Arabidopsis thaliana: one gene and its partners. The protein of the gene in region 2 interacts with the protein of the main gene of each other region in a pairwise test. Each region holds a gene or a part of one and is shown on either strand. Other genes may lie near its edges.

What was found.
Region 1: the proteins of HL (region 2) and CYSD2 interact in a two-hybrid assay, tested with the Arabidopsis thaliana proteins (one large-scale study listed by BioGRID).
Region 3: the proteins of HL (region 2) and CYSD1 interact in a two-hybrid assay, tested with the Arabidopsis thaliana proteins (one large-scale study listed by BioGRID).
Region 4: the proteins of HL (region 2) and TBL41 interact in a protein complementation assay, tested with the Arabidopsis thaliana proteins (one large-scale study listed by BioGRID).

The regions. Positions count from the first base shown.
Region 1 is NC_003076.8:10,025,392-10,030,632, forward strand, and holds CYSD2 (cysteine synthase D2), read right to left. Parts: upstream 3,332-5,241; 5' UTR 3,160-3,331; intron 3,145-3,159; exon of another isoform or gene 2,789-3,144; 5' UTR 2,776-2,788; coding exon 2,737-2,775; intron 2,648-2,736; coding exon 2,480-2,647; intron 2,478-2,479; exon of another isoform or gene 2,392-2,477; coding exon 2,128-2,391; intron 2,037-2,127; coding exon 1,899-2,036; intron 1,820-1,898; coding exon 1,768-1,819; intron 1,575-1,767; coding exon 1,495-1,574; intron 1,424-1,494; coding exon 1,364-1,423; intron 1,269-1,363; coding exon 1,188-1,268; intron 1,094-1,187; coding exon 1,004-1,093; 3' UTR 796-1,003; downstream 1-795. Other genes in the region: DES1 (L-cysteine desulfhydrase 1), read right to left, coding at 5,102-5,191.
Region 2 is NC_003076.8:22,083,715-22,088,796, forward strand, and holds HL (HAL2-like protein), read left to right. Parts: upstream 1-2,283; 5' UTR 2,284-2,418; coding exon 2,419-2,572; intron 2,573-2,836; coding exon 2,837-3,500; intron 3,501-3,568; coding exon 3,569-3,872; 3' UTR 3,873-3,926; intron 3,927-4,026; 3' UTR 4,027-4,380; downstream 4,381-5,082. UniProt on the Arabidopsis thaliana protein: Phosphatase that converts adenosine 3'-phosphate 5'-phosphosulfate (PAPS) to adenosine 5'-phosphosulfate (APS) and 3'-phosphoadenosine 5'-phosphate (3'-PAP) to AMP. May regulate the flux of sulfur in the sulfur-activation pathway by converting PAPS to APS.
Region 3 is NC_003074.8:1,363,326-1,368,766, reverse strand, and holds CYSD1 (cysteine synthase D1), read right to left. Parts: upstream 3,678-5,441; 5' UTR 3,485-3,677; intron 3,290-3,484; exon of another isoform or gene 3,112-3,289; 5' UTR 3,087-3,111; coding exon 3,045-3,086; intron 2,937-3,044; coding exon 2,827-2,936; intron 2,710-2,826; coding exon 2,652-2,709; intron 2,564-2,651; coding exon 2,300-2,563; intron 2,219-2,299; coding exon 2,081-2,218; intron 2,007-2,080; coding exon 1,955-2,006; intron 1,843-1,954; coding exon 1,763-1,842; intron 1,664-1,762; coding exon 1,604-1,663; intron 1,526-1,603; coding exon 1,445-1,525; intron 1,349-1,444; coding exon 1,259-1,348; 3' UTR 923-1,258; downstream 1-922. Other genes in the region: LCR41 (low-molecular-weight cysteine-rich 41), read left to right, coding at 89-146, 332-519; AT3G04930 (DNA-binding storekeeper protein-related transcriptional regulator), read right to left, coding at 4,368-5,441. UniProt on the Arabidopsis thaliana protein: Acts as a cysteine synthase. The cysteine synthesis reaction is more efficient than the cyanoalanine synthase activity.
Region 4 is NC_003074.8:4,993,053-4,998,411, reverse strand, and holds TBL41 (TRICHOME BIREFRINGENCE-LIKE 41), read right to left. Parts: upstream 2,987-5,359; 5' UTR 2,798-2,986; coding exon 2,535-2,797; intron 2,472-2,534; exon of another isoform or gene 1,867-2,471; coding exon 1,695-1,866; intron 1,608-1,694; coding exon 1,432-1,607; intron 1,339-1,431; coding exon 1,180-1,338; intron 1,102-1,179; coding exon 801-1,101; 3' UTR 627-800; downstream 1-626. Other genes in the region: AT3G14840 (Leucine-rich repeat transmembrane protein kinase), read right to left, coding at 4,521-4,919, 5,014-5,164, 5,252-5,359. UniProt on the Arabidopsis thaliana protein: May act as a bridging protein that binds pectin and other cell wall polysaccharides. Probably involved in maintaining esterification of pectins. May be involved in the specific O-acetylation of cell wall polymers.

The DNA of each region.
Region 1 (5,241 bases), about 12 Mb from region 2:
CTTGGTAATAGTTATATCTTGTGTTGTCGCTATATATAATTTATTGCATGATAATCATATGTATGGGGTTTCATAGTTGATGTGAATACTTTTCAAAGTATGGTGTGATTATTAATAATTAATAAGGAAACTATATAATATATATTTATTTTTGTTAAATGTTATAACTCTCTTACTATGAACTATGGAGGTTTTTTCGTAAATGATACAAATAAACAAAAAAAGATTTGAAGACATAGAGGAGAATTGTGGAAGTCCGCTTGGCCCAATGATTGACTAAAGGTTCATTAATGCTTCTACATCAAGAGGTTTGGGGTTCGAGTCCCACCTACTACGATTTATTAGCATATTTGTAGATTAATGGAGACAAGTGTGCTAATGGAGACAAGTGTGCAGGAAATCTCCAACGATATACAATTATAGCCGTTCCTCAGGATTCTACGCAGTGAAGATATTGAAGGTGTCCATCAAGAGTATGGAGAAAGAGAAGGAGGTGTCGTCTGTCGTGGATATAATAAGATCAGAAGGAATTGTTCGTGGTAGAATCGTCTATATCACAGTTTCATGATTTGCGATTAATAATAAATCTAGACAGCAAAAATAAAAGACATAGAGGAGAATGCATTTGGTTGAGTAATTGTTGGCGTTGGCTGTAAGTGGCTGAAACAAAGTAGAGAGAGTTCTACTTTGATTTGGTTTTGGTAAATCCAATAATATGAGGTCAAAATAGTAGACGAAAACAAATTATTATAACTGAAATGCATGAACACAGATCAAACCAAAAGGCAAAAGAGTCAATGAAACGTTCATGTAGATTATTCTGTTTTATTAAAATTCATGTTTTCGACCAAGAATTGCAATGGAAGTAGTCAACTAAAATTATTCATAATCGAATATGCAACTTTTTATACATTTCACATTGACCAGTAATAAGCAAATTGAAATCTTGGACTCTTGGAACGAACGTCTCTTATTACACACGAAACCGGCACACGTCCAACATTCATTCAATAGGCAAATTCTCTGCTTCATATCTAATCGAATCGAACAGTTTAGTCGATAAATAACGTTCTCCTCCACTAGGAAAAACCACCTGAAAACCGGACATTAACCGAGATATTCAACAAACTTGGTATGTTTTCAGTGAACACAAAGCTTATAGGTAAGCAGTTAGTGAAAAAGCTTACCACAATGAGTTTCCCCGCGTTTTCTGGCCGCTTTGCAACCTTTAACGCAGCCGCTGCTGCGGCTCCAGAGGATATTCCCACCTGCCAAATGAATTATCTCATTTATCAGAAACTTCTCCTTTTTTTCTGCCAAAATTTTGGGTTTATACCGACAAAAAGAAGTTAACCTATTGTACCAGTAATCCTTCTTTGAGGGCAAGAAGCTTGGCTGTTTCAATAGCCTCTTCACCTGCCACCTAAATCAAAAGATTCCAGATCTTAGATTATTTGTTCAAGATCAAGAAGTAGATCATATCAGGCTACTTACTTGAATAATTTCATCAACAATGGTTAAGTCCAAATTGAATGGGACGATACCAGAGCCAATTCCCTGAATCAAATGTGGACCTACAAATATGAAGTCCCATAAACCGATATTATAATTAGAAATGCAAGAACTCGGACAAAAGAACGATGATCTTATAGATAACTTGGCGCGTATGTTAATGTTGTCACTATATATATGTACATTAAATCTCATACAAAACAACAAATCAATACTATATGTTGCATAAGATCTATCAAATGTTCATTTTCTGACCTGGTTGACCTCCGCTAAGTACCGGACTTTCTACTGGTTCCACCACACAAACCTATAAGATCAAGATTGTAACCGAGTTATTAAAAACCGAGTTTTTGGTTGTTTTTAAGCGTTAGTGAAAGTTTTTGTACCTTGATGTCTTTGTTCTGCTCCTTGAGGAACTTCCCTACTCCAGTAGCAGTTCCACCAGTCCCTACGCCAGCGACCAATATATCTACTTTCCCGGCTGAATCTCTCCATATTTCCGGTCCCGTGGTTCGGTAATGAATCTGCAAGATACAAACTTGTGTTCAATGAAGACATAGAGAGACTAAAAGCATATACATAATTGTGTTGGATGCATGATATTATTTTATCAACCTCGGGGTTTGCAGGATTTTCAAATTGTTGTGGAATGTAACCACCAGGAGTTTTGCTTAAAATCGCTTCAGTTTTCTCCAACATTCCTTTAAGGCCTATGCGCTGGTCCGAGAGATGAAGCTCTGCACCTAGTGCCCTCAGAATGATTCTTCTCTCTAAGCTCATAGTTGAAGGCATCACAAGGATCACTTTATAGCCTCTTGCAGCTCCCATGCAAGCTAAACCAATCCCGGTGTTACCAGCAGTTGGCTCTATCAATGTACTCTATAATCAAAAACAATTAAATTCCATCTATGTATTCTTTATAAATTATGGAGAAACTTTTATGATAACTTTAAATGTTCATATTAACCTTTCCGGGAGTAATCAATCCTTTGTCTTCTGCATCTTTGATCATACTATACGCGATTCTGTCTTTGACGCTAGAACAAGGCTCCATCATCTCAAGCTTCGCAGCGATACGAGCCACGCAACCATCAACAACATTGTTCAGATACACCATTGGTGTGTTACCAATCAACTGCACAAACATAGAAAAAGATTTTAGACATGTTCTTTGTATCATAAAAAAGCAAAGTGATACATATATAAGAAATTAGAGATTATTACTTCAGTGATATCGTTCTTGATCAAGCACCGATCTTCCATGTTGGTCTGTTTTCTGAAACTATTGAAAAATCAATATTTGGGTACCAACTACTAAAGAACAAAATGGATTTATGAAGTCCAATAACCATAGAATAAGATTCAAGAATCTAGACACAAAGCACAAAATACTCAATGGTCAAAGTTTGCTAACAGACTCTATTTACAATGCACAAGTAAGATTCAAGAACAATCTTGGCAATTTTTTGGTTATATTGTTTCATAACTAAAATTTTTAATATGGAACTTCTAAACTCTAAAGTAGATAAGAGACAAAATAAAAATTTAGTAAAGAACAGTGAAAACTAGATAAATTTGATACCAAAATCAAGAAATGATAGTAAGACTAAATCAGAACGAACAAGAACAAAAAAAAAAAAGTCGTACCTTTGCGTTTAAACGAATTATTAGTGAAGAAGACAAGGCTGTATTCTAGATTAGGATATATAGAGACTACCCTACTTTGCATGTGGTGCACACTGAACGATGTTGAAGTATGAAGACGAGTTTATGTCATCATTCTTGTATAATAATGTTAAAAATTTGACATCTAAAGAGTTTTTGTCATATTGCGTAATGAGAGCATCCAATAGTTGTATTTTGTTATTAAAACAAAATCTGCAGATAAACATTTAACACTATTATTAAAATGTTTAAGAGCATTATATTGTCCTTTTCTCTAGTACTAATCATGTGTTACTTATCCGAACGATCGAATAATATTACACCTAAGTGGTCACAGATCAATTTTTTAACCACATGATTTTCTTAACACAAATCAAATTTTCATAACCACATGCTTTTTCATTTTATAGAATACAATGTGTCGTTATAGTAAGTTAGTGACACAATTTGCTTGCATTGGTTGCCCAAATTACTTGAAATTGCAGAAAAGTTTTTTTTTTTGTATGAATGTAAAATTATATTCAACAAAAAACTGTTTTACAAAAGATGTAACATTAAGAATAAAAAGAATGAAAAAAACAGAACTACTTAGACAGTCTTGGGAATACAGTTTTGATTGGCCGCCTTCAAGCTTGGCAATGCCCAATTGGTGAATGGTGCTGAACATTTTGATCAATGATTTTTGGAGATTTTTGCTTCTTTTTTCTTTGGACAACTGTTTAAATTTTCTTTTTTGTAGAAACACACTTAAACATGTTCTTGACCAAGTGTAGTTAGCTCAATTGATAATTATCCTAGGTGAAATTTAGAGGTCGCCGGTTCGAGTGACACTTGGGACGAAACTAATATTACATGTTGTGGTTTCGGGCCTGGAAAGATTATGAAGTTCGGTACAAAACCTTCTGGTATTCAAAAAAAAAAACAACATGTTTTTGAAATGTTAGGTCCGAAGAAAACAAATAATCAAAAACTATAAACATAGAAGAGTCTCTCGTTTGTGCGGAGGGTTGTGGTATGTGTTTATTGAAGAAGACTCGGTACACATGAATTAGGGATTAAACCGGATTCGGTTCCGGATTTATTGAAGACCGTTAGTGAGTTAACAGAGTTAGCTAAAAGCTCTGTATCAAAACAAGCTCTAGTTAATGTGTTTGTATCTAATTTTCAATTCAATTACAAACAAGAGTCATGAGTGTTGATGTAGGGATCACACAAGTACGATGTTTCTCTAGGAAGAGTTAAAGAATCCGTCTCGGTTAACAGGCCGATGACTAGACGAGAATTTCTTGACTAAGGGACGTGGTATTGTGACGGAATGATCGAAACAGGATGAGATCGGCGATGTGTAGACAAGGCGAGGTCTTGGAGACGAGGTGAGGTCTTGAAGATGAGGCGAAGTCTTGAAGACGAGGTGAGGTCTTGAAGACGAGGCGAGGTCTTGAAGACGAGGTGAGGTCTTGAAGACGAGGCGAGGTCAATGGTTGTACTGCTGTCCTTTCTCTGTGTCAGCGGGAATTGCGCATTTCCTTTCATTCCTTTCCATTCTTGTACTTATAGGACCTGTCCTTTTAGGGTTTCCTTTTTATGCTTGTAAGTCTTTACCACTTTTTCCACTCTGCACAGTACATCTGTCCTCTTTGCCCTCTTCCTTTGGTCGATGGAACACTCCAGATCTTTTCTATCACTTACTGGGCTTGGTTTGGGCTTATTATGTTCATGGGCCAAAACCGACCATTAACAATGAGTAAGATTTAACGTTTGATTGTGACGGTCTAGCGATCGGATTATATCAAAATTAGTTAATGAACAACTTATAATTGATCATCAAGGAATATGTAACTCTTATTGATTTTACAATGACCTACAATAATCAAAATGTAACCTTGGTACCAACATCTCTTATTGAATCCTACGTTACTACTACTCATTCAACTGGCAAATTCTCAGCTTCATATCTGACTGACTCGAACAATTCAGTCGATAAATAACGTTCTCCTCCACTAGGAAAAATAACCTACAAACCATACAATGATCGCGATATTTAATAAACCAGGTTTGATTTCG
Region 2 (5,082 bases):
AAGTTAATTATATGTAAGTTTTTTGCGTAAAGGGGCTGTTATTGGAGGATTTTTCTTAAAGCTATTTTAAATATAAGTTTCTCTTACAAATTTGTGACTCTTAAATGTGGATGAGATTCGAGAAAAAGAGAGATTATTCCACTTACAGAAATGAAATGAAAAACGTTGGTCACGACGAGACCGTCAATCACGTCGACGCCGTGAATCCAGCCGAGAGACGCGTTTCGTTCTTTAGCCTTTTTCTGTCTTTCTTGTTTTGGTAAATAATAAGACGAAAAATATGAAACCAAAAAAATGAAGAAATTTATATGTCTAACGACTCTTTTCTTTGACTATAATCATCTTTTCTTTTTAGGTCCCAACCATTTCTTCTTGTATTATCTATCACATATCATCAGATCCAAAATCAACTTGATTAACTTCCTTACTGAATTAGATGTAATCAACGAACAACTTGGAATTATCTTAATCAATTCGTGTTGTTAGTTTGCATTTCTCTACTAATAATTGTCTACATAGATACTAACTTACCAAGTATCAAAGGATCCTAAGAAGTCCAAAATGATATCTCATTAGAAGTCAATTAATCCATATAATTAAGATTTTTAGTAAGAAATACATAGATGAACAATGATGTTAACATGTAAAGTTGCCTCAAAAAACATTCTCCTCCAATACCTTATATGAAATCAAATTAAGAATCATTTGAGAGCTTGGTTACACAATTTAAGTTTTTTCTTTACTTTGCTTTAGAATAAAAACAGTCTCATCCAGCTCCTGATAAGAGGTTTTAATATGCCTCTATGTTATTAACCAGCGTAAGTCCACAACTGATTTCAGTGGCTTATCATGATTCATGGATAGAGTTTGAGGGAGATTTTGGGACTTAGGAGACTGCTATACGCATAAGTTGTAGCACATATGGCTCAGTCTCTCATCATCCGTGTTGAAAACATACAATGGTCAGCACCTATTATGGATCGGGCCTATATGAAAAAAAAAAAAAAAAAAAAAAGCAACAGTTCTGGAGAGTTTCCATCATTCAATGTGTAAACTAATTTTCTTAAACATCTTGTTAATTTTCCTAAGATCTGAAGCATTAATGGGATTTCATATAGGCTTCAAAGGCTATATAAATTTTCCTATAGCCCAACTAAATATATTATCATATTGGGCTCACTTACTTGGAGTCTTGGACGGTTTAACAAGTTTGTACTATTGTTTATTATTCACAGCCTATTAACATAATTTAATCCTAATGCTATATTAATTAAATAGATTATATTCAATTAATTAGTTATACAGCAAACACAGGAGCTTTCTGTCCACATGCACGACCACCATGCATAGTCCCTTCTTTACGGTCTATATTCATTTGACCTCTTCATCTATATAATTTCATTTATTCCCCTAAGATTATTATACCAAAGTGAATAGAAAAAAAAAGAAACCGTCTATGCGTTTAGTTTTTCCCCAAATTGCTATAACTTAAATCATATAGATTTGTAGAGAAAATATCAGAAGAATACGAAAATTAAAAGTATGAGTAATTTTTTTATTAGCTGAAAAACGAGAATGCGAGAATTTTTATAAAGACAACTTTTTGTTTCGACCTTTTTTTTCTTCTTCCGCACGTGTTCCCTAATTCACCTAACTACAAGTCTACAAAGTACAAAACCCACTCACCATCCACACGTTACGATTTTGTCGTAAAGTATATACGATTATTCATTTTCTTTTTCTATTTGTCAAACGTGAATATTGTTTTTATTGTATTAAAAAGAATTATTTAGTTTTCAATTTTTGGTTGCTTCAAGAAAATACTCACTAACAATAACATACCAAAAATATTATCTTCCAATATCGTTTTATTAGAAAAGCGTCGAAATTGATACCTTAATTTTGTATGATATCAAGTAGTGAATCACATTTCTTAATACACAAATTAGCATAACGTTGCAAAAGAAAAAAAAAATTAGGAAGGAGAAAAAGAAAATGTATTCTTACAAAAACATTAACGTTGTTATACTACAACAAAGAAAATAATTATTTTTCTAGTTTGAAATACTTTTGAAAATCAACGTTGTTATTAACTTTTATATATTTATTTATTATTAATTTTCACAAAAAGTTGTTATTAAGGAGAAAAGTGTGTTGTTGTTTTATTTTATTTTATTTTTTAATCCAGGGAATAAATAATTTAACTATAACCACTTTAAGAAAATGTGACAGAGCCACCAAAAAGAGCATAAAAAGTAAAATTAAAATAATAATTATGATTTTGTATTAAAAGAAAGAAAGAAAAAAAAAGGAGAGGAGAAGAAGCAGTGGAGAGAGAGCATGTGAATAAAAAGCGTGAAGCTTTTTGATATCTCTTTCTCTTCCTCTTCCTTTCTCCTCCGATAGATTTCGCCGGCGATGGCGGTGGACTCCTTAGAAACGGAGATTGACACGGCGGTGCGTGTTGTCCACCTCGCTTCTTCTCTCTGTGTTAAAGTTCAAGAGAAGCTTCATCTTCCTAACGGTGGTCACGTTAAGTCTAAAGACGATGATTCCCCTGTCACCGTCGCTGGTTCGATTTCTCTGTTTCTCTGTTTTGTGTTCTGTTTTTTTCTAATTGTAATTTTGAGATCTGTTTGTGTTAAATAAAAAAAAAACGAATTTTTGATGTTGGATTGTGTAATCGAATAATCATGTTCTTTAATTCGTTGATAGATGAAACAAAATGTGTATTAAAATACAAAAGTTTGCAACTTTTCATCACTTCCAATGATTCTCTGTATTAGTAGTTCAATAGTGTATCAAAGTTTTAAACTTTTGTTGATTCACTTGACAGATTTTGGTGTACAAGCAATTGTGAGCTGGGTTTTAGCTGAAGTGTTTGGTGATCAAAACCTTTCAATTGTTGCTGAAGAAGACACTGAGACACTCTCTGAGGCTGATTCTTTAGGTCTTTTAGGAGCTGTGTCGAATGCGGTTAATGAAGCATTGTCCGAAGCTCAGAACTACGGGCTTCCGAAGCCAGTTAAGCCATTGGGGTCTAGTGAAATTCTTAAGGCTATTAGTAGATGTAACTCTGTTGGAGGACCTAAAGGAAGGCATTGGGTTCTTGATCCTGTTGATGGAACGTTAGGGTTTGTTCGTGGGGATCAGTATGCTGTTGCTTTAGCTTTGATAGAGAATGGTAAAGTTCTTTTGGGTGTACTAGGATGTCCTAATTATCCGGTTAAGAAAGAATGTTTAAGTAATGGTTGTAACCAAGCTATGAAGACGAAAGCTGTTGCTGGTTCAGTATCGAAAGGATGTGTTATGTATGCAAAGAGAGGTAGTGGTCAAGCTTGGATGCAACCTTTGATCGTTGGAGGAATACCAGAATCTGCAACACTTCTTAAGGTTTCTTCAGTTGATGATCCGGTTTTAGCTACAGTTTGTGAGCCAGTAGAGAGAGCAAACTCAAACCACTTGTTCACTGCAGGACTTGCCAATAGCATGGGAGTTAGGTAAATGTTGTTTATTCACTCTCTTATTCAAATGTTACGTTATTGACCAAAAGTTTTTTGCTCTGCAGAAAGCAGCCTATGCGAGTGTATAGCATGGTGAAATATGCAGCGATTGCACGTGGAGACGCTGAAGTGTTTATGAAGTTTGCACAGTCAAGTTACAAAGAGAAGATATGGGATCACGCAGCTGGAGTTGTTATTGTGGAAGAAGCTGGTGGTGTGGTGACTGATGCGGGAGGGAGAAACTTAGACTTCTCGAAAGGTGTTTACTTGGAAGGTCTTGACCGTGGAATCATCGCATGTTCTGGTCAAGTTTTACATGAGAAGATTATAGGTGCTGTTTATGCTAGTTGGGAATCTTCCAGTCTCTGAAAAAGCTTATCCACAATCCGTAGTTTGGTGCAGCATCATCGAGCCAAAGCAAAGGTAAAGAAGATAACAAATTGTCCTCTTCAAGATTGTAATCATATTTGTAGATTACTGCATAAGCTAGTGGTTTTTAATCGGTTTATTTGTTCCGGTTTAGGAGGAACAAGGGCCATTACGGTTTAGGATGAGCAAGGGCCAGTTTCAATGAATGTGAATGGCGGAGAAGTAAATATAGTCGAGGAAGCAGCGGTAAAAGTAAGAATCTAGTTTATTTACCTATCTAAGAGTAATAAAGCTGCTGCATTTCACGAACCCTTATGTTCTATGATCTTTAATGGATGATATCATTTTTAATCTTCGTCCTGTAATAATTCACCTTCAAAACGCGGATTATACATGTCGTTTTCCTGACAAAAGACAAAAATTAGTAAATTACTGAATAGGCTCTAACTTACTCCATGCTATTTCAATGGTTAACGACCCAAATTGTCTCTCAAATTTAAAGATTCAACTAGAAATTGCCGATAATATTGGTCCAGTTTTGGGCTAATAAATTTTGTTTATTGGGCCGACTCGATGACCATTTTAAAGAGGACTCAATAGATTTTTATTGATACGAAAATATTATTAAATCAGACCGAATTAAAATGCCTTGAACTCCGGTTTAGCCGACATGTTTGGCACCCTAATGAGAATAGCTTAGTTAGTTTTGTGTTAGTCTAAAGATTAAAAGTAAAAAGTTTGATTCTGCCGACAATTTCTTAGATTTGGTGCTATTTAAAAGATTTCCCTCTTCAATTTTATCGAATTCCAACCTTCAAATAGGCTTTTCCATACATTTATTGAAGAATTTATCATTATCAGTCACAATTATGTGTCTTCATCTTTATACGTACATAATTACTAGTAATAATTAAATTCTACTACTAATAGAGGACGGCCAAAGTGTCAGTAATGATGCATGAATGGTTAGTTGATAAACATCTCTTTCTTATGAATTCAATTTTTCAATTTTTTTTTTTTTTTTTTATATTTATTTCGTATACTTGTATTTTGTTGAATATTATTAATACATAGCTACATAAAATGTGATAAAAGATTAGGTAAAGTAACAATTGGTAAGAAAATATCACAAAGAAGCAAATGACAAGGATAGTCTCATAAGTCATAATCAATACAGTTTACCTATGTCAAAAAAAGAGTCTCATATACA
Region 3 (5,441 bases), on a different chromosome or scaffold from region 2:
AAATATTTTCTTATAAATATAGTCGAATATCTTAGAAGAAACAAATTTAGTTGAAGCCTACTCTCAACATTCACAAATCCAAAAGATAATGAAAAACTCTTCTCTTCTTTTCATACTTATTGTCGTTTTCGTTATTTCTTCTTCAGGTAACATTTTTTCTTTAAACATTGTTTGATATACTAATTCTGATCACTTTATCTACCATATCTAGTAGGATGACAAAATTAATATTTTGTTGTGTCCTTGGTTGGAACTCGGAACTGAGAAAAAAGATAACAAAATGGTTCCACTTCTTTTATATTGATAAACTTGTGTTTGTGTTATTATATAGAAAACGGGATCATGATAGGAGAAGCAAAAAAGTGTAGTAATTCATGGATTTGTGAAGGAGACGAGAAATGCAAAGAGAAGTGCATGGCTGACTACAAAGGCAATGGAACATGTTATTACCCATCTCCTCCTTCAAAACAACATCCTGAGTTCTTTTATCCTACATGCTGGTGTGGGTTTGATTGTTAAGCTCGATCTCTATCTCCAAAAGACCAAAACTATTGTTATCTTTAATCCATTGAATCTATTAATGATCAAGACATAATTAACTAAATCATTTCCCTTCTTTTTCTTTTATCATTTACTATTTTTTATACATATAAGATTTTATTATAGGAGTTAAGACGATGAAGAAGGAATATTAGAGATGGAATCACAAATTCTTTGGTTGCTAAGCAATGTTTTTTCTAAGCAACTTATAAGTCTAGTTAAGGTGCAGTATCACAAGTGTTCAATGACTTGCCTCATGTTTTGAGGCTTCAGGCTTTTGTTCAAACTCAAAACTAAGTGTCCCAAAGAGTTGTTGAGAAGCTTGGGTTTCAAAGAGAGGGTTTGCTCAGGAAGTAGACTTGTCTCAAAGGTGAAACCTATGATGTGTTTGTTTATAGTCTCTTGTCCTCTGATCTTTTTCCTCTTCCACAATCCTCTAGCCAAATTGTCTACTACTAGTAACATGGGTTGAAATCCTACATGGCCATTATATAGTTCTAGATTCATTGTCAACAAAAGTTTTACAGACTTACACATATATTAGCTAGAAAAAAACCACCAATAGAATGTCAAAGGACAGTCCACCTTAGAGGCTAGAGATTAGAGATCATACATCATCTGAAATCTTAAAGTTCATGAAACTATGACAGTGTAAATGTCGAACCGAAATCTTGGTACTTTTTCACCAAAACGAACCAAGTCAGGTCGTGTAAAAGCCTCATTGAATTGGCAAATTCTCTGCTTCATGTCTGACTGATTCGAACAATGAGGTCGATAGGTAACGTTCCCCACCGCTAGGGAAAATCACCTAAACAAAACAGACAGTAACCGATTCATTTTCTTTAAAACCTCAGTGAAATGGCAAATTATCTGCTACACGTTATGATTCTGTTTTTTTACTTACAACTATGAGTTTGCCGGCGTTTTCTGGCCGCTTTGCCACCTTTATCGCAGCGGCTGCAGCAGCTCCAGAAGATATTCCCACCTGCCAGACATAGAAATGTTGGTTTTATGGCTTAAACGAACATAAAAATGTTAAAACCAATTAAACCAGTGATTCTACCAGTAATCCTTCTTTCAGGGCAAGAAGTTTGGCTGTTTCAATTGCTTCCACACTTGTCACCTGAAAAAAGAATTGGAGATTACCAACATCTCAGTACGATTTCTCTGACATCTCATCGCGTTTACAAAGACAACACCGATAAAACCTCAGCTACATTACTTGGATGACTTCATCAAGAACGTTGAAATCCAAATTGTCTGGGATGAGTCCAGCCCCAATACCTTGGATCAAATGTGTACCTACAAACAGGAAACCAGTATCCGTTATGTGATCAAGAAAGTGATTTAGCAGCAAGAAACTCCTCGAATGATGTTTACTTATGTTAGACTCAAGAACAAGATTTGAACTCACCCGGTTTGCCTCCACTTATTACCGCACTTTCTGTAGGTTCCACACCATAAACCTGTTGATAAGAGAAGTGCTTGAAAAGCCAAATCTATAACTACTATGGTTGGACTTCAATAAAAGTTTCTCTACCTTAAAGTCTTTATTCTTCTCCTTGAGGAATCTTCCTGATCCGGAAAGCGTTCCACCAGTTCCAACACCGGCAACCAATATGTCTACTTCCCCTGCAGAGTCTCTCCATATCTCTGGACCCGTGGTTCGATAATGAGTCTGCAGAATAATCAATTTAGATTGATAAATATAGATAGAGAGAGAAGAAGAGCAAATGTAATGTGAAAGGAGAGTCCATACTTGCGGGTTTGAAGGATTTTTGAACTGTTCTAGCATGATACTATCTGGATTTTTGCTACATATCTCTTCAGCTTTGTCGATTATTCCTTGAACGCCTTTACTAGGATCTGTGAGGTGAACCTCCGCACCTAATGCTAAAAGAATGATTTTTCTCTCAAGGCTCATTGATGAGGGCATTGTGAGGACCACTTTGTAACCTTTAGCTGCACCGATGAAGGCTAAACCAATCCCGGTGTTACCAGAGGTAGCCTCAATCAGTGTGCTCTGAGTAAAACCACCAGGATCCAAGTATCAGTTTGATTTTTAATGGCGAAAACGAAAAAACACGAATGTATGATATAATCTGATCTACCTTCCCAGGAGTAATCAATCCCTTGTCTTCTGCATCTTTAATCATACCATAAGCAATTCTAGCAAGCGAAGGATCAATCAAAAGAAACAAGATATTTCTCAGAAACACACACAAAAGAACAAACATTGCTTGGAGCAGACAAAAGAGATAGAGAGAGGGTTATTTGTATATATACCGCTCCTTGACACTAGAGCAAGGCTCCATCATTTCAAGCTTAGCTGCAATACGAGCTACACAACCATCCACAATGTTGTTCAGATATACCATTGGGGTGTTACCTATCAACTGACACAGTATGCAAGGAACTAAGTACATTTTACTTGAGCAAAGGAACTAGAACTTTATTCCAGTGAAGCAGTTGATTAAAAAAGACAACTGAAAGATTATGATTACTTGAGTTGCATCATCCTTGATCGAACACCGGTCCTCCTCCATGTCAAAATTCTTCCCAATTTGAGTTCTGAAGATCACAAGAAAATCAAAAAGATTTAAGACACAGTCTGCAAGCAATGTCCCTAATAATATAAAACATTCATATAAATCGAAGAGTGTTTTGAAACTGCATGAGATCCAAAATTGTAAAGTGAAACCAAAACCATGATTTAAGTTCAAACTCGAATATAAATCAGAGAAAAAAAAAAATCGAACAGCAGAAAACATGAGTATCAAACTAAATATAAGATTTAACAATGAAACAAGTGAGTGAAGCATTCGTGTTCTTGAGCTGAAATCGAACTTGAGGAGGCGAAATTATGAAAGTTTGAAATTTTTGGAGAGAGAAACAAAAGAACAGTTCGAAAGATACAAAACCAGAGACTTATAGAAGAGCTTACCAGTTCCAGATCCAATCGAAGAAGAAGAAGAAGAAGAAGACTGTCGACAAAAAGAGAGAACTGTTCTAGTGTTCTGTCAAATTAGCGATAAGCTTTTATAAAGTGAATTATTTGCATATACACACACACCATCATCCACCACCAAATATATCCACTCGTTTATACATTTATAAAAAATAATCATGTATCTTCCATAGGTATTTTGTTAAAATCATTGTATAAACTATAAAGTCAATAACAAACCTACCTAACATTCTTTGCCTCGTCACGTGGACAAGTTTCTGCCTTCTTGAATCTTTAAATTGTTTTGATTATGCCTTTTTTTTTTTACTTAATCAGGAAAGGAATCTTCTGATGCGTACTAGCAAGAAACACAACATTGGTTCTTTTTTTCAAACACAAAAGTTTTTAAGTAACTACATTAATCAACATGATAAAGAAAGAGGTCAAAGTTTAATACACTTCAATAACAGTATCCGATCTAGAAATAAACATGTTATTACAGATTTTATTAGACAAAGAAAGAGTAGCACACAATTTAGAATTATTATTTTTCTTCTTTTTGAAAGAAAAACAGCTAGAAAGTCTGTTTGTTATTGAACAAATGATTCTACGAAAAAAGAACTATAATCTAATACAAAAGGTTATACACAAACCCCCCTCCTATGATTCATCCCTATTGACAAATAATTTAAAGATAAGAAGAAGAAAAAAAAATCAAAATGATGAAAAAACCTAGAGAAAGATCACAATACCTTACCAATTTATAACTTAAAAAGATCCAAATCTCTTACTATACTCACTCACACACCAGAAGGTTAACTCAAAGATATCAAATATCAACCTAAATGGTTCCTTGTTGTCTTATTCTTCTCGCCCTTCATCATATACCACTCGGCATCGTCTTTAACTCGTTCAATGTCGTTCTAATCTGCTCTTGAACCAACTCTAATCTCCTTGAATACACTTCCAATTCCAGAATCTGTTGTTTCCTCCACCGCTCATCTGCAACCGCCTTGTTTCCTCCTCCCTCTACACCAAAACCGAAATTGAACGGCCGTGTAAACATGGGGCTTAGCGAGCCAAAACCATGACCACCACCACCACCACCACCACCACCAAGACCCGGAAACCCTCCTCCCATTGCAGCCATCATCATACTTGTTGTCCCATTCATCATCTCTTTGATCACAGGAGAGACACAGTTTTTCACAGTCTCTTCGATCAAACCCCCGAGATTTCCTCCAATACCAACAGCTGCAGCTTCGTTGAGGTTGACATTGCTAGCTATTGGCCCATCAGAGGGAGTGATGACAGGTTTGTTGTCTTCCTCAATCTTCCCAATTCTTGATCGTGATCGTTTTCTCGACACGCTACTGCTACTCATTGTCAATTTCTTCTCGATTCCATTTTCGGAGTCGAGCTCCAGAGTAGGATTAGAACTAGGGCTGTTAAAGGTTGAGTAGTTACCATTGGTGGTGTTATGATGGTTATTGGTTTCTTCGAAATCCATTACGTTGTTATCTTCAAAGCCTATGATTTTCCCAGTTTGGTTCCAGATTTTTCTAGAAATCTCGAAAGTAGACTGATCATGAGGGCTCTTGAAGAATACCTCTTTACCAGAGCTGATCTTGCTCATCACATTCCTGTACTTCTTCTTCAATCTCCGAAGCTTCTCCACCAGCTGGTTCTTGTTGAAATCCAGCTGAAGTTTCGACTTTATCTGCTCATAAAACGGCGCCGTATCCGGCGGATGCGAGCTGCTTCCGCGGTGCATCGTCATGTAATCGAGAAAACCACGAAGAAGCTCGATCTCGTCTTCGTCTGTCCACAGCCTCTGGAAAAGGCGTCTAGAATCATCGATCGGTGGTCTCTGATGGACGATCTCCGTCATACGGTGCCACTTCGGATCGGAATCAACGGGAATCACGGAGACAGGGACGGCGGATCCAGCCGG
Region 4 (5,359 bases), on a different chromosome or scaffold from region 2:
ACTGAAAATCTGATGTATTATGAACTTATACGATCACAAGAACAGGCTCTTCGTTACTAACTTGCTATTAACACATTCTTGCTTGCTATATATAGATCTTTGGCTGCTAGAGATAGGTTCCTTGCTAACCATGGTCCTAAGAAAGTATATATAATTGTAAAGAATCTTAGTCAAAAAAAAAAAAAGGAAAAAAAAATGAAGGGCCCTACCGGGTTCGAACCGGTGACCTCTTGATCTGCAGTCAAATGCTCTACCACTGAGCTAAGGACCCTTTTGTTCAACTCATGATACATTCATTACAAAAATATTAGGTGCTCATGATAGAACAGAGTAAAATCTATGTGTTTGGCATGGAGATAAAGAGAGTACGAATACGAATATGATTTTTTAAGATCGAATTTGATAATAACTTGACTTCATTCATACGAATATGATTTTTTAAGATCGAATTTGATAATAACTTGACTTCATTCAGTTCCATTTTTATAGAATTATTGTAGAGATTTGGTTGAAACTTTAATAATTGGAATGTGCTTTGTTGACAAACTATCGATCAGTTGAAAAACGACCTTACTAAATGAATTAGCTATAGAAGTTTTGATCTATACAGTTTCATATTGTGTTCACTTACACTACACGGAGGTAGGGTTTAGATTAATTATTTTTCTTGATCATTCGATTTCTTTAATTCTAATAACCTATGTATGATTACAAAATTCAGAAACGGACCTTTTATTCAGATTTAAATGATCAATCACAATAACAAATGCTATAATTGATGTTTCCGTATTTTATTTCTTTTACTCAACCATATAATTGTAAAGAATCTCATTCCAAGTATCCGGTACCCCAGAGAGACACCAGTGGCTGCAGTCACCGGAGGAGTTTCGCCCGCCTAGACCGTAAACCGAAGGATGAGCATCTTTGCGAAGCAACGAAAGCATCGTAATGTCTAGCAATGTCACCGGTTTCGATATTTTCCCGAGTGCTCTCTTCAAAACTCCCACTTCTGCTGGCAATCCTCCTGGATATTTTGTCCCCAAAAGTGGTTCCTTCTGTCCCACGCAACTCTTTGCCGCTGGTTCGCCCCACAGAACTCCTCTGGTAAACAACAAAGCCAACTTTTTAAATACAAGTTTCTTTAGTTGATCATCTTTTTAATCAACAAAATCAACTTACTTGTAATGAGATGGAGAAATTCCTTGAAAAAAGACTCTAGTTTTCTTAGTATTTAAGACGGTATCGACCCATTTCCCCCAAGTCCCAAGCGCAATTTCAAACGCGGCCACACGGTCCATGTCTTTTGTAACGTTAGTCCCTATTTGAATCAAATCCCATCTGCCAAAATTAACAAAACAAATCCAAACTTTGAACATTGCATGTAATTAAGCCAAAAACAAAGCATATTAATTCAGAGTTACTTGAACGTACGGTTGTGCAGGACCTCTCCGACTCCACCAATGCCAAGTATTAAAAATCAATGTATCCATCTCTACCCAATTTTTTCCATCATTGATCGAATCAAGCTTCAAAACTCTCCCAATCTTCTCCCTAACTATATCTACTAGATAAACATTCCTATCAAGCTTCAATTCCAGTCCATACTCCTGCAATTTTCACCACTCCGGTTTAGTTCATCCCGGTTTTCTATTCAACTTGACCAAAACAAGTGTAGATTTGGTAATAACAACTACCTTGAATGTGTAGGTTGATATACTACCTTGTGTGGTTAAAGTATACGTAGAATTTGGAACAGAGGAATGAAGCATACATGCCAACGATTGCCATTGATTTAGACTAAGAGAATCACCAACAAACATAATCTTCTTCCCTTTGTTTTTCTTCAAAAACTGCAATCCATTGAACCTAGAACAAACAATATAAACGGTGGCGTTTTATGTCGGTGGCATGCATTGAAATTAACTTAAGAAACAGGAGGACAGAACCGTCGAAAGATTTGAGTTACTGTCCCCACAAGTGTGGGGGAATTTATGTCTTCTTATGAGGAAGAGTTTGGTGGCTGTCCTAATCTCAATGGCGGCGCGTGTAACTCACGCCGGATCCACCACTTGGCATATATTGTGACAAAAAAAGTTCGTTTTCATCTCGTGCAATTTTGGAGATTCTAAACACCATTCAATTATAGCAAACAACTATATAAATAGCATTCTCTTTTCTCATTGGTTGCTCACTCAAAAGTGCTTTATTTTACAAACACAAAAACAATATCTCTAAACATTTTCAACTTTCTTGAAAAGTAATTATATGAACCAAATCAAGATTTCTTCACACTGCTGAATTATTATTGCGTTTATCTTTCAAATCAAAAAATTGTGGTCCTCCTATAACGCTAATGTAATGTCATATTTCAACAAATAAAAACCGACGAATATATTAAAACAAAATCATGAATCAAAAGTAAAAAAATAAAAATAGTCATATCTATAACGATACCTTGGTTCAATAGCTAGACACCCAAAAAAAAAAGTTTGAAAAGATAAAAATGTATGTAATAAATAAAGAATGGATGATACCTTGCTAATTTGCAGGAAAGAGGCTGCCATCTGAAGGTAGAGTAATCGAGATCTGGCCGTCCATTTCTCTGGCAAGAGAACTCATGTCTTATGAACGGACACGTGGAGGAATTGTAGAGAGGGTAAGAATCGTCCTTCACCCACCGCCCCGTGAACATGTCACATCCTTCTGCTGCTTCGTGAAGCAGGGGAAGAAGAAGAAGAAGAAGAAGCGATAAAACTAATGCAGAGTCATTAGAAATGGCGTTATCCTTTGAACCCATTTCAACACAGACAAGAGAGAGAGAGATATTCAAATACGCAGCTGGTTTTTATACACCCACGCATCTATATATAAAATATATATATAAGTCACATTTGTCATAATAAAGAGAAGGAAGATAAGTTTTTATCAGTCAAATATGTGAAGTTGTGAACTATAGATTTTTGGCAATAAATCTTGAAAACAAATCTCAACATTTCTTTGACCAACAAAAAAAAATCTCAACATTTCTGTGTGCATTTAGAGAGTGTATTCAATCTAATATTTTCAATGATTTGTGTAAAATTTATAAATCATATGCTATTCAATCATAAATTTTAAAAACTCTAATAAAATCTAGTGTTATTGAACTAATGATTTAAAAATCTATCTTAAAATTCACTCTTATTGAAAACAGTTTGTGGATTTGATTCTTTTTAATTCTGAATTATTTGAGAAGACTTCTTTAGTTAAATATATAAAAATCCAAATCTTATAGTTTTAGATAAAATTTGAATAAATTTACAATAAATCACATCAACTTCCCTAAAATCATCAAATTATATAAATTAAAAAGTCAGTAAAACTCAAATCATTACTATTTAATGACGTAGTTTACTAACATTGATTTCCATGATTTTGGATTTTGAAATCCAAGTAATGTAATTTACATATGGTCAACAACTTAAATGAAATGATTTAAGTACGATATTTATGTTTACCAATTACAACTTCACGATCTTTTTTGTTTTTGTTCACCTTCAAATTTGCAAAATGTCGGTTACAAGGTCGATATTTATTTATACCATTTACTTCGAGATCATGCTTAAAATTTTGTTTTCCTTGAAATAACTCGATTTGTTCGGACCATAAAGATTCTGTGAAGAGTTTTCTTTTTGTTTGGTCTATTTAAAAGGATTTTCATTTGCCGGTGCTGCCCCGTGAAAAGCTTGAGGACCTATAAATTCATATTTAATCATTCATTCCTTATAATTTAATTGTAATTTTCTAAACGACAATATAGATAAACCTATTAAACTTTAAACTATTACAAGCCAAATTATTGTCCATGGAAACAGATGTTAACAGACCAACAATTTATTCGGTAGCACTTATATAATCTAACATAATTATTCTGGTTTCATGAAACGTATTAAATTATTAATAGGATGGTTGACTAAACAATCATATTAAGGGGACAATAATGCCGTTATCGGTGCAATTAATATTTCAAAATAATTTAAAAATTTTTGAAAATGTTTTTAAAAAGAAATCATATTCACAAATCTTAAATAAAAATTTCTAGAAGTTACGGAATCCTATAGTCATATATTTTTTTATTTTATCGTTGCAATTTCAAGGGGGTTCTGCATTACAATTCTAGATCATAGTAAAGCTCTAGTGTCCAAATAAGCCGAGTGAAATTTAATTTTCGCCTTTGTATGAAATTTTGTAAATCACAATATGATTTCATTTAAGAAAGTAAAAGCCAAATCATACGTCAAACAAATAAAAAAGAAGTTAAAAGAACCTAACAACAAAATATTATCTCATCTAAATTGTTTTGGACCTTTTGATTCTCTTAAGATAAATATTCTCATTTTCTGTTTCATGTAACGTAATCTTCCAATTGTCTTAAATAGAATAATCATAAATAAAAAAACTTTACAAAAAGCAAAATACAAAACGTCATAATAACATAACTCCATAATTTTCTTTCTTTTTGGCAAAAACGTTATCCTTAATTAAGTTCTAGTGTTCCAATAGGCAGAGTCGAGCTTAACAGGGTAAAGATCGTTGGCGTTGGCGGTTGACGTAGAAGACGACGTGAAAGGTCCATCGGTAGTTGTCGTGTTCGTTATCTCCTCCTCACCTATCGTGGCGTAATGCCTTTTCATCGCTCTCACACTCTCTTCGTCCTTTTCATTGTTGACCGAAGCTTCAAGAAGTTTCTCAACATTCACCGTTGAATGGCCTTCGAGCATACTCACCACCGTCGACATCGAAGGTCTATCCCCTGGAGCTGGACTGGTACAGAGCATCCCTATCTGAATCATCATCAATGCTTCTTGTTTGTTGTAATCTGTTCCTAGCCTTGGATCTACTACTTCAAGTAGAGTGTTTTGTTCCCTTAAAACGTGCACCTGCGAAAGAAATTGAGATTCAGATCCATAATTTAGGGTTTAAGGGGTTTAGGTTTAGGTTTTAGGCTTTTTGAGGTGTGAAGTGATGATTTACCCAGTCAAGAAGGTAGAAGGTATCAGCTTTAGATCGTGAGCTCGTGTTGCTCTTTCCGTGAACGATTTCTAGGGCCACAACGCCAAAACTGTAGACGTCGGCTTTATCTGTCAAATGGCCTCTCATGGCGTATTCTGGAGCCATGTATCCACTACAGACAAAAAAAAGTTTGTTTTTGGTTATATGAAATCTCAGAGTTGAAACTTCTTGTTTGTGATTGATTGGTTGTTTGACTCACTATGTTCCAGCGACTCGTGTGCTGATGTGTGTGTTTTCTTCTTCATCAAGCTTAGCAAGCCCAAAATCTGAAATCTTTGGGTTTAGTTCCTTATCCAGCAAGACATTA